Regions from separate parts of the Mus musculus genome. Here regions 2 and 3 are each reported to be linked to region 1. Evidence: microRNA targets listed by miRTarBase, many of them from high-throughput screens and not tested one by one. Region 1 holds a microRNA gene; each other region holds the end of a gene's coding sequence.

Region 1 (4,243 bases):
AGCTGGATCTAAATGAAGCATCTGGGGCCAATGCTTAACCACAGGAGCATGATCTAGAGACAGTTGTACTCCACAGGAGCATGATCTAGAGACAGTTGTACTCCACAGGAGCATGATCTAGAGACAGTTGTACTCCACAAGAGCATGATCTAGAGACAGTTGTACTCCACAAGAGCATGATCTAGAGACAGTAGTACTCCACAGGAGCATGATCTAGAGACAGTTGTACTCCTCTTCACTATGGCCTCAGATCTGCATCAGACCCCCTCCTCTCTAACCAGAACCTTCACCTGCCCCCAAATCTGTCTCACATTAGAAAGAGCTCTCCTACTCCCAAAAGCTACCCTTGGTCTATTTTTCCAAGTTTTCAATATGGAGACATGTCCAGTCAACAACAGTATCCATATCCCAGCATTCTACATTCCTTCCATCTCTCAGGTTCCTCTGATTTTTCTTTGGACACACAGAAAATTCTGGATAGTCCTGGACACTCCTGAATAAATGGTCCCTTTCTTTGTTTGGGGGGGCCTCTGATATAAAACTTAGTGGGAACAAAATGAACCATTGTAGTTGAGGAAAAAAAAAAAAAAAAAAAAAGCCTTGAACTCCCAGATTGTGGGAATGGCCAATTTATCCTTTAATTGAATAAACAAACAAAAAGGAATTCTCACATAGCTATAATACTCCTATCTAATATACTTAAGAGACTGTGTGCCCAGCAGTTGGGAGCATCTGGTGTGATTAGTGTTAATCACATCTTTTTGAAATTCATGTCCTCAGATCCTTATGTCTGCTCCATACAGCTACATGTGTATGGTGTTCTCTAATGTCCCAGGAAGAGTCTGGCCCTGACTATGTCTATGTCTTCCCCTGAATGGCTAGCTCCACTCTTCCTATCTTCACTAGCCATGAGCAATGTGTGTGTGTGTGTGTGTGTGTGTGTGTGTGTGTGTGTGTGTGTTTTGTTTGAAGGGATCATATCTTCTATAACACCTATCTCAAAAAAGAACCATTCCTTCCCAATGAGCTCCGACCTCTCTGGGAGATAAAGAGAATGTCTCACCCTAGGAGATGAGAATGTCCCACCTTCAGAGATGACAAGAATGACTCAATCTGAGAGCCTAAGAAATTTACTATCTTACAGGTGAGTAGTTGGAACCCAGGTTGAGAGGCAGGAACACATCCAGGCTTCAGAGTCCTGACAGTGAGAATCCCAGATAGGTCACATGTACTTGACCCCACAAAAGCTTCAGACTCCCTGTGACTTATTTACTTCCCTCAGTTCCTTGCCATCTTTGACTCCCCTCATCTCTGGAGTTTCCTCAACAAATAACCTAACTCAGACAGGTTCCCAGGGTCACTTCCTCAAGATGACTTTCCCCACCACTTATGCCCATAAAACACTCACCCCGTCGTCTAGCAGCCTTCTCCTGAAGAGAAACTGTCATCTGTGTAAATTCATCATGCAGGTAGCTCCTCTCATCATAGTCTGAAGGTAGATGAGACACCATGGCACAAACCTGGTTCCATGGTGTTCTCTATGTCCCACTCATGGCTGAATATCTCCAAGCCCTGTGATCATCCCAGATTCTATAGCCCCAGTCTATTGTTCTATGTGCCCCACCTAGAGCTCTCTCTCTCTCTCTCTCTCTCTCTCTCTGTGTGTGTGTGTGTGTGTGTGTGTGTGTGTGTGTGTGTTTCCCTAACCCTAACCTAAACCTTCAATCTTGGTATCTCTCCATCCATCTAATCTCTCTCTCTCTAGGCCTGTTACCTGGTACCCTGGATCTGCTTCCTCATCTACATCTTTACTCCAACCCCATTGGTCTCTGTCCCACCTATCTCTAGATCACTGTCTCTCTATTCTTCCTGAAACTACTCTCTGTATCTATACCTATGTCCCTCACTTTGGGACTCTGTTCCTGTCTTATCTCTATGTACCTTACTCTCTGTGTGTCTCTCATCTCTCTGGATTGATTCCTAGCTCTCTGTCCCTCTCTCCAGGTCTCTAATCTCCCCACTCATCTGTGTTCCCAATCCATATCCTCTCTCTGAGCAATGCTTCTACTTTTCCATCTCTTTCCCTTACTGTCTTTAGACTCTCTCTGAGGCACTGTTTTGTCTGTCTCCACCCCACTCTGGACCTGTTTCCTTCCATTGTTTCCACCTGTCTCTCTTCTCTGTGTCTATGTCATGATCCTGTACTTGGCTTTTCTTCTTGGAGTAGCTCAAGGAATCTCCTTCCCCTCCCCAGGGCCCTGGTTCAGGAAGGAGGGGCTCCTCACTGATTTTCATGTCTTTGAGATCTTCAAAAGCCCCTTCAAGCTCATTTCTGCACAGGTTTATCTTGGTTTCCTCTCTGCCCACAAACAGCTGGCAGACACGGAGGCGTTCCTCATAGGTAGTGAAGCAGAAGAGACAGGCCCACGTGGATGCCCTGAAGATCAGCAGGAACAACAGGACAATGCTCCCTACTAAGGAAATAAGACCCATAACAGAGGGTCTCCGGGTCTGAGGAGAAGATAGTGACCTTTGTGAGGTCATTGTGGGGGAGGGGGAGCCTGTGATCAGAGATTGAGTTTCAAATGATGGTCAAGCATCAGGCTCCAGCTAGAGGAAGGTTGCCAGGGGTCACCTGAAATCCCTAAATTTGTGGCTGGGCCAGGCGCCAGGCTCCCAAGAACCTCACCTGTGACCCTGGACGTCCTCACAGGTTAAAGGGTCTCAGGGACCCAGAGGCCGGCAGTGTAGCTATGGTGGACCAGAAAAACCCTTTTCCCCAGAGGTGGGAACGGGGAAGCGAGACAGAAACAGATACCCTAAGCCCCAGAAGATAGAAAGGAACCAGGAGATGCCTCAAAAAGCTCAGAAACCCAGTGTCACAGAGATACATTCACAGCACTAGAGAAACAGAAGCTTCTAGAACCCTAGAGACATTGGCATAAGAGACAGAGACAGAAAATTCGAAAATCTCAAGATGGCATAGAGACTGCAAAGAAAAGGGATAGGATAGAATGTGAACAGAGAAGACACCCCAGCTCCTATCAAGAACTCTTGGGCAATGGTGTGGACCTGGGGTCCCCGCCGGCCCCTTCCAGTGCAGGGCGCAGCCTGGGGAAAGCTAGGAGGCCGTATAGTGATCTCCTCGGGTGTCTTCCTCAACTATACAACCTCCTACCTCAGCCCGGGGGGCGCGGCAGGTGGGCAGATTGACAGATGGATTGATGGGAGACCAGAAGTAGGGAGGGTGGGGAGGGCCGGGGAGGTCCCAGCCGCGATGGTGAGCCCCCGACACGGACCCACAGACACGAGCTTGTGTGCGGCGAAGGCCCCGCAAGGTCGGTTCTACGGGTGGGTGCCAGGACCCAGGAGTCCGGGCCCCCGGCCCCCTCCTCCCCAAGGAACCCAGGAATTCAGTCCCAGCCCCAAAATCTAAGCCCCAGCCCCCCTCTTTCAAGGCCAGAGATCCAGACCTCAGCCCTCCTCCCTCAGTCCCAAAGCTTCCTCCCTTAGACTAAGGGGTAGTGGTCACAGCCCTCCCTCCCACAGATCCAGGGAAGCAGACCCTGCCGCCTTGCACTCAATTCTCCTCAGTCCAGACCCAGGGACTCAGTCCCTAACCCTCACAGTTCTCCTCCACCCCATAGCCCTCCCCGGCAGACTCAGGGTCCAACCAGGCACATCCCTTAGAGAAGACAATCTGGTTAGAGACCTGACTTCTGCACTGCAGAAAGGATGTATCCCCGTTTGTCTTGGCAATCTGAGCCCCTTCTGTAACCCCTAAAGGTTTCATATCCCAGGCCTGAGTTAAAGGCCTTCTGAGTATCAGAAGTCCTCATGGGTCTCATGGAATAATCCTATCTTTTCCAAAACCATTCTCAACCTTTGGGGTGATAGCTATGGTCAAGGAATAATGACACCAACCAGGACCCTGTCTCCTCAACACCTCCCAACTCAGAAATGAGGTCGCTCCCAGCACACAGGAGCCCCCAGAGGGGAAGCCACTAGACCAAAGTCAGTTGTCGGCAGGTGGGAGGAGCCCTAGGACCTGCACCCACCCTGAGGCTCTGAGCACAGAACTGGTCTTCTGGGGCTCCCAGGTTCCATGTCCGTCTTCTTGTTTCTTTCTCTCCACCCATTTTTTCTTACCTTGCTCTTTTCTTATTCTCCCTTTCTTTCTCTGTTTGTATCATCCCTGATGAGGTTTTCCTCTTCGCCCATATCTGAATGCCTGCTCCTCCCG
Region 2 (4,243 bases), not on the chromosome of region 1:
TGAGACTCCGTCTCAAAAAGATAAAAGACTGCTTCACCATGTATCCTGGATTGGCCTGGAACTCAGAGATCCATTTACCTGCCTCTGCCTCCCAAGTGCTGATATCATAGATGTGAGTCACCATGCCCCACCCAGCAGTGTTCTTAACCCTAGACATACTATGCTCCTAATAATTCAAAGTAAAATATGTGGGCATCAAGATTGAATACCACAGAATTAACTGCGGCTCTTCCAGAGGTTGGATTTGGTCTTTAAGCACTCACACCAGCAGCTCACAACTCTGAAGCTCCAGAGGACCTAGAGGCCTCTGTTAGCACCACACACATAAACAAAACAGTAAGTCAAGAAAGGGAGACACTGTGCATTTGTAATGAAGAAAGGCAAACCGTCTCCCAATGGTCACTGAACATTTCAAGAGGCTCAGATGTGCCATTACACAGGCAGGTGGCAACCACACCACCACACTTTTGTTTCATTTCAAATAGCTACAAGGACCATTATGATAAATGCTTGAGGCATACATAGCCCGACTTGACACAATGTACAAATCTCAAAACATCACCTGGAAACCTTAGATAGTACATTGTTTTTGTTTTACTAAAACCATTATACATATCTTCTTCAAGTACTCAAACCCAACAGTAAGCTTTATAAATTGTTTCAAAGCAACCTTTTAATAAAAAAATAATAATTTATGTGCACATGAATACTGATGTCCAAGGAGACCAGAGGTGGATGTGGGTCCTCTTGAAGAGCAGTGTGTGTTCTTAACTCTGGCTCCACTCGCCAGCCCCTAAATTATCTTTTTTGAAACATCTGTGTGTGTGCATACATCACCATTTGTGCATGGAGGCCAGAGGACAACTTGCAGGAGTTGGTTTTCTCCTTCCACCACGTAGATCCCATGGACTGAGCTTGAGTCTTCAGGGTGGCTGCTAAGTGACTATGCCTTTACCAGCTGAGTCACCTTACCATATCCAAAGTACACTTCCCTGTTGAATACTCACTCTTAGGCACCGAGATCCACTATCTGCCTCCACAATGCTGGGTGACACATGTGTCATTATATACAACTTTTAGAGATGGAACCCAGGGCACAGTACATGTGCTAGGCAAGTGCTCTACCAATGAACTACATTTGTAGCCATTAACACGTCTTTTAAAAAGACTGATCTTTATTTTTTGTTTGAGTGGTTTGCCTGCAGGCATGTACACCACATGTGTGTCTGATGCCGTGGAGACCAGAAGAGAGTATCAGGGCCTCTGGAGTCGAAGTTATAGGCAGCTGGGGGCTACAAGATTGACTGCTAAGCACCTGTCCAGACTTCTTGACAACACCCATTTTTGATAATTCTTTGCTCTTAATCAAAAGACTTAAAAAATTATGGCAATCTCATTATAGTGCCCATTAAAATTCTCTCATTTGAGTGATTCCCTTCCAACTATCATTTGATTTTTTTGAAGAAATTATTAAACTCACACATTTTCACTAATTTTACATCAGGTTAAAGTATTAACATTTTCAAATTTCAAGAGAAGCCTAGTAATTGCCTCTGAATGCTTTTAAGACCACTCACTCTTTGACACAAGCCCCATTCTGAGAATCTGTATGTACATGACATGTGTCAACTATAGGAAAGACTCCATTAGAGCCCTCTTTATCGTCAGGATCCCCAGTGCAGCTGCTTGGTGTCTACCTCCCTCAAGTGTTGGATCAGAAGTGCTGTACATTAAGTCAGGCATGGTGGCATATATAGGCAGTATCATCCATGAGTTCTAGGACAGCTTGGCCTATATAGCAAGATCCCAGCCACTCAGGGCAACAGAAAGACTCTGTTGCCCTGCCCTTACCACAACCCACCCTAACAAAACAAAACAGTGCTGTATATAGATGTTACTTGTTTGGCCAGGAAGAAAAGACGAAGTAGCACAAATAACAGGCTGGAGAATGTGTTTCTTCGAACTCAGAATAAAAAGAAGACACCTAGAAAAACTAAGGTTTTTTGAGACAGGGTTTCTCTGTGTAGCCCTGGCTGTCCTGGAACTCACTCTGTAGACCAGGCTGGCCTCAAACTCAGAAATGCGCCTGCCTCTGCCTCCCAAGTGCTGGGATTAAAGGTGTGCGCCACCAGTACCTGGCCTAGGGTTTTTTTTGATTTAGAAAATTAACTCACAAACTGGCTTGTTTTTTTTTTTTTTTTTTTTTTTTTTATACAGGGCAATACTGTAACTTCACTGTTGGTTCCAAATTCAACACAGTACAAAGCAAGGAAACATTTATTTACTACACTCACACAGTAATGATCAAGCATCCTCATGTTTGCCCAGATAGCTTAAAATAGCAAATATTCAGTCCCCACAAGAAGAACTGTCTTCGGTTTTAAGCCAAGTCAAAGAATAGAAGGGAAACCCATTACTCGCTGAGCTTGGCACTCAGGCACCATTCTCGGACCTGGCGCAAACATCAGCCCACATCAGCATTGCTTCTACTCGGCTTCACTGCTTTACCAGGTAAGGAACACAAGCTAAGGTTCTAACACCTTATCCAGACAAGTTTAACTAACTCTAAGATCACATGACTTGACAAGAAATATACAAATGTTGGTTAAGAACTTACCGTTCTGTCAATCATTTTAAAGAGTCCATGAAATATACATAGCAATATATTTGTAACCAGAAACTACACTAATTAGACACATCATTTAGTTTGTTAAGTTCTACCTGAAAACATGCCATTTTAAGTAAAATCCTAAAAACATAACTCTCAAGTTCTATGGTTTAACAACCAAGTCCCACTAAAACAGCACAGATTTCCTTTCACAAGCGCAGGCCAGCAACAAGACAAACTGCGGTATGTCAGACAAACAGGTCCCCAAGTTCTTCTGAAGAACACCAAGGAGTTGCCAGAGAGGTTACACAGTGGCCTTGATCTTTATTTTTCTTTACCTGGGATTCTACAAATTCTGAAATTGATCAATAGATTTATCTTGTTAATAAACAGCACCAGTCGTGCCCACTGATACAATTCAAACCTGACTTTCTCAGTTCTCAAGTTTATTATGAAAACACTGCGGTGACTTGTGCAGTAACATCATCTTACAGGAGGGAAACAGTTCTGTTCAAAACAACTCACCAGGTTTTCTGACAGTAACAAAGAACAACGCGGGGCTGAGATTTGAGAAGGGGAGAAACTGAGTGCAGACAAATCATACAATTAAATTAATGGTATCCCTGAAAGAAACACAACAAGAGGGGAGGCCTTGGTACTTATTTAAAAATGTTCATTAAGCTCCAATGATTGTTTGCTATCCTCATCTACAGTCATGCTGAGTAAGCTACAGCTAAGTGAAGTCAACTGGACTCACGGGTGTTAATGTTTAATCCTATATCTGCAGTCTCTCAAGAAAGCAAAAGTAACTACAAATAGCGCTATGCCAGAAACTGGATTCTTGACCAACAATGTCGCGTCAGCATGCAATGAACTGGTTCATTCTAAAGTGGTCACGGCTGTTGATGACAAGAGGCTTTGTATTTTATATGGCACATCTTTTGGTCCGTGTGAAAACAAGTTTTTGAATGTTAACTATTTTCTGACACTTTGGAGTTACTGTTGCTCTTCCCATTTCCATTAGGTCAATATACGGTTCATGGCAATACTGTACAAGTTTACATTTTCATTACAGGAAGTAGTCTGGGGTACGACGAGTGACATGTGGCTCGCCTCTACGAGGTGCTGGGTCAAACTGCAAGCTGAAAAACAAGGAAGACTCAGTGTTACTACTCCAGAAGATACCATGTAGTTAACAAAACTAACATCTTCCAAATTTTCAAATTTTCTTCCCCATCCAACTTCAGTACATTTTAAAAGAATAGAACCCAACTTTAATAGACCTAGGTATATTGGGGCACAGCTCTAACATTACCACTTGGGAAACTGAGGCAAGAAAATCACAGTTCTAGACCAGCTTGGGCTACAAACACATGGTTAGTTTTAGCTGTTAACCAGACACAAGAGAACCATTACCTGGGAACAGTTCTAACTGAGGACTAGACTTATATAAATCAGGTTGACCTGTGAGCATGTCTGTGGAAGACCATCTTAATTGATGTAAGAACACCACGCCCACCGTGGCTGTTACCATTCCCTAGGCAGAGAGCCTTCATCTGTTTAAGAATGAAGAAAGCTAATTGAGCATAAGCAACAAGCAAGGGCCCACACACTTCTCTCTGCTTTGTTTTGTTT
Region 3 (4,243 bases), not on the chromosome of region 1:
TTATTTGATTTTTTTTTCGGGGGGTGATTGTTTGTTTTCTGTACATATTCTGGATAACAATGACCTGGCACATGACTTAGCTTCTCATTTTTATTGGAGTAGTCTATGGGAATTGTCTGGAACAGGCAACACATCGAAATTTTTCTCAATGGAGCCTTGGAAAGATACACATGGGCAGAGCCCCTGCCCAGGCTGATCCCTGATGTCTGAAACGGGGAGGCTCTTTATGACCAGCTGAGCTTCCAGGAGGCAGGCTGAGCGCTCTTAGAAAATGGATTTTGATCAGGTTTGAGTAGAGTGCCAGTTTGCGGACATCTGCAACAGTTTTATACTGTTGATGTCACCATGCTTTGAGTTTACAGTGGGCAGAAGTGTGCTCCTGCTTTGGACAGGTTGCGTCTAAGGTCTTTCAGAGTACATCAGCTCATGGAACTTTGAAAGCTGAGTAAAAACAGATTAAAAGACACGCATGGATTTCCCGTCTACCAAATACTTTGACTTTGGTGGCACTTCATGCATGACCCTCCAACAGTTCTTACACAACAAAAATATTTTCTGTCTTGAAGGAAAATTTGAGTATGGTGTTGCAGAGGGAATTGTGGATCCTGGTCTAAACCCTATTTCAGCCTTTCGACTTTCCGTTATTCAGAACTCAGCTGTTTGGGCCATTCTTAATGAGGTAAGAGTACATTCAGCCAGCAAAGCCGCCTAGCTGCTTCGTTTTTTGATTTTGCAAATGAAGACTTCTTGGAATTGTGAATTAACTGCTTTATCATATCTTATATTTTTTTGTATTTCAGATTCATATTAAAAAAGTCACCAGTTGATCTGCTTAGAAACCAACACGTCCTTTCTTATGACTCTTGATTAAAGATAATTAGCGCGTCCTCTTCTGTTTGGACTTGAACACTACCTCTCTTGAAGCCACTGTAGATGAGATGATTGTTGCCTCCACGCGGACAGGGACTCTTCCCATGGATAACTGCATTCATTTGAAGCTAAGCTGTCCTCCAATTTGAACTTGACACAAACGTTTTACAATCCTGACAGCCTGTTAACATGACTGAGACTATTTTGGTATTATACTAATACACAAGAGTTGTACATATTGTTACATTCCTTAAAATTTGAGAAAACTGATGTTAAATACATTTTGTGAAGGGGGTACTTTTGAACTTCACTTATTTTACTATTATAGACCCTCTTTTATAGACGATCAGGGATATTACATATATATATATACATATATATATATATATATATATAAATATATAAATACACATGAAGATGTTATGAAGTTAATTTATTAGAAGCACTTAAGAAGTACATATTTTTGTGCAGTAAAGTTTTGAATCAACACCTTTTTTTGAAGAAGCGGTTCCCCGGCTTTTTTTAAGTTCTTTCTATATTTTTATTTGGAGATGCCGACATTATAGATCAACGCCATTTTTTCCAGTGCACTGCCATTCCAGATTGGTTCTAGATGGGTTTCTTAACTCGAAGTACTTTTATAATCACAGCAATTCTGAACAAAATATTTTCAGAGGCATTTGTCATTCCTAAAAATCAAGATTTTAAAAGACCAATGTTCTCTCGAGGGTTATATTACTGTACTGTGTATGGTGTGTAGCCACAGAAAACCAGTGTGACTGTCATTGTCCAGGTGGGAAGCCCCTGCCGTGTCTCCACAGACTCCTTTTCCCGTTCATAGTTCCTTTCATGTGGGTGATGAGACTCCCTTCCCTTTTGCTCTGTCTTTAATCAGTAGTTAGACAAACTGTCTCTTTTCTCCCTGGTTGGTCCTTTTCTAGATCTGTGGTAGGTTTTGGAGTTCAGATACTGTTTTCTGAGTAATGCTGTTGGGTGTGTCCTGTTGGGTATGGGACTCGGAGAAAGACGACCGTAGCACTTCTGTTTCCATAGCATGATTTGCTCCGCTGTGTCATGAACGTGGAGGTAAATGCTGTGTCCACAGAGTGTTTGTGCATCCTCACTTTGCAGTCCCAAGTAGCGCTAGTTGGCAGAAGTGCTTTACTCTTATGATTAGGAAGGCCGAGCAACAGTTGCCAGTCTTCTCTGGCTCTCCAGAAACTGCGTGTACAGCAGGTGTGGTGGAGGCCTAGGGCTGTGGGAGGTCCCGGCTGGTAGCCTCCGTCGGGGGCTTTCTTAGTTGCCCAGTGTATGGGACACACAGAACTGAGTGGAAGCCATTTTGTATGTTCTGCCTGGGAAAATGTAGATAAACACTACTGTGCATGTCAAAGCCCAGCTGAAGCTTTTCTTGGTGTTAAGTTTCCCCTCTCATTTCCTTCAGCTTTTTAATAATTAGTACTGCATTTGGCACTTTTCCTATGCCCTGTGCCCACAAATAAATCCCACTATCTTCCCACACTCAAGTGTGCAGCAGCAGGATAACAGACTGTGAAACCATGCAGATGGGCACAGGGGCCCCGTTAGGTCTCTGCTTTCTCAGTGGTTGTGAGTTCAGAAGGCCAAGCCTTGAAACTCCACTGGACCGTGTGAATGTCTCCTGCGTGGGTCTTTGAGCATATCCACTTACAAGGCTCTACTCATCAGTCTTGCCTCTAAGGACTCTTTTAGCCAAGTCCTTTCCTTCATTCAAGGAATTCCCCCTTTCCCCATGAGCTAGTTCCTGGTGCCTGGAACACGCCTGAGCCTTGGCAGGCTCGGTTGGCATCTGGATTAACTAGCCAGGTTGCTCACATCTCTCTCCTAGCGATGTCTGCCTACTATCCTGCCGTGCACGGGCACACACACACTCCGTGTCTAGTCTTCATTGTGTGTGGTGTGTGTTCTCCAATACACTCCAGGCTCTGGAGGCCAGCTCTCCTGTCTTCCATCACATCAGGCGCTCTCCTGCTCCCTCAGTGCCAGTTGCTTCCTCCTCTTGTGCCCAGTTCAGCACTAGACTATTGGAAACAGATGTTTCCAATAGATTTTGTGGGAGCCCTGGAGGTTGATGAGGATGAAGACGGGGGAGGTGAAGACAGAGTGCTTAGAACTGTAAAGTGTTCATCCACATTATCCCTTGGAGGCCACCAACCGACTTTCACCCACATAGTGAATAGGAAAAGTGTCAAATGCAGTACTAATTATATCTGTGAAATAGGTCATAGTTGGTATCGGTGGGTATTTCACATAGCCCAGACTCTAGAGCAGTGCTGGCCTCTACAGAAGCCACAAAACACATCTGTTGAAATGAAAAGTTGAGTTGGCAGCCTTTGGAGTGCTCAGTGGCCACATGGCCAGCAGCCACCATATTGGATCCTAGGAATATGGGACATCGACATCACGGTGGGAGGTTCTGCTGGATGTGTAAACATGAGCATTCTAGAAAGGAGTAGTAATGTATCCTGCTGCTGTGGTTAAAAATAGACCTATGGATTCATCGTAGTGCAGGTGAAGGTGTGTGTTTTGGTGGGACAGTCAAGATTACCCGGCTACATGTTAGTGTCATCCTTCTTCCCAGCATGCATTGCTTCGGGATCCTCAAGAGGTACGTTTGAAAAGCATGAGAAGTGAATGCGGATGGATGGTTTCGCTTGTAGGTTAGACGTGTGTTATGTCCATCAGAGTGTGTTTGAACAAAGGTTCTTGAAATCATTGGTTCTTGAAATCATTGGTAAAAAGATTAGGTGTGCTTATCTCAAAAGCTATCAGGAAAGTTGGGAGACTAGACTTCTTTTTAAGTCTTTCATAATTACGAGAACTACAGTTCTCAACAGTGCTGTCCCTCAAGGAAAAGTTGGCTTATGTGCAAAGTGTTGTTGTTGGCAAAGGTTGTTCTAGTTAATAAGTGTGTATCTGTCACATGCAGGATTCTAAGAACGACCCCTCATGACCTTGTATAATATCCTCCCCTTCTGAGTGTATCGAGAACTGTGACCACATCTGTGGGTGATTGGCCCAATCTTGAGAGCCATGTCAGGCTGGCAGAAGTGAGAGACATCAGCAGCAGAACTCTAAACAGCATCGCTGGTCTAAGTGGAAGGGGCTCCCCTAAATGACTGCAGGTCACCTGCCTTAAGGAGCCAGAGGCTCTGTTACCCACCAAGTGGGACCTGCAGACCTTTTGCCATAGGACAATTTGACCCAGACACTTACCCAGGCTTGGACATGGAAATCCTTGAGCAGCCAGCCTGGTAAACACCTTCACTTTAGCTTTGTAAGTGGGAACCTACCTAGACTTCTGGTGTGCAGCAGTGGATAATAAACGGGCAGT

What was found. Region 1 holds the annotated microRNA mmu-miR-125a-5p (UCCCUGAGACCCUUUAACCUGUGA, at 2,708-2,731, opposite strand). A microRNA usually pairs through its seed, bases 2 to 8, with sites in the 3' UTR of a target mRNA and lowers its output. Matches are read on the target gene's strand: a 7mer-m8 pairs with bases 2 to 8, a 7mer-A1 pairs with bases 2 to 7 and ends in A, and an 8mer does both.
Region 2: miRTarBase lists Ppp2ca as a target of mmu-miR-125a-5p. Seed matches in the 3' UTR shown: 7mer-A1 at 3,229-3,235.
Region 3: the mRNA of Mgat4a is a reported target of mmu-miR-125a-5p. Seed matches in the 3' UTR shown: 7mer-A1 at 1,217-1,223.

The regions. Positions count from the first base shown.
Region 1 is chr17:17,829,305-17,833,547 of GRCm38, reverse strand. It overlaps Mir125a (microRNA 125a), which reads right to left and starts at 2,736; the gene lies at 2,669-2,736. It overlaps Spaca6 (sperm acrosome associated 6), which reads right to left and starts at 2,573. Exons shown (of 9, transcript NM_001162909.1): 1 at 2,286-2,573; 2 at 1,409-1,489. The coding sequence starts at 2,544. It overlaps Mir99b (microRNA 99b), which reads right to left and starts at 3,360; the gene lies at 3,291-3,360. Mirlet7e (microRNA let7e) reads right to left here and starts at 3,196; the gene lies at 3,104-3,196.
Region 2 is chr11:52,121,409-52,125,651 of GRCm38, reverse strand. It overlaps Ppp2ca (protein phosphatase 2 (formerly 2A), catalytic subunit, alpha isoform), which reads right to left. Exons shown (of 7, transcript NM_019411.4): 7 at 2,903-3,750. The coding sequence ends at 3,678. Among named protein-coding and RNA genes, the nearest start is that of Mir3061, 3.2 kb to the left of the region's middle.
Region 3 is chr1:37,441,243-37,445,485 of GRCm38, reverse strand. It overlaps Mgat4a (mannoside acetylglucosaminyltransferase 4, isoenzyme A), which reads left to right. Exons shown (of 16, transcript NM_173870.3): 15 at 567-679; 16 at 801-4,243. The coding sequence ends at 827. Among named protein-coding and RNA genes, the nearest start is that of Unc50, 13 kb to the right of the region's middle.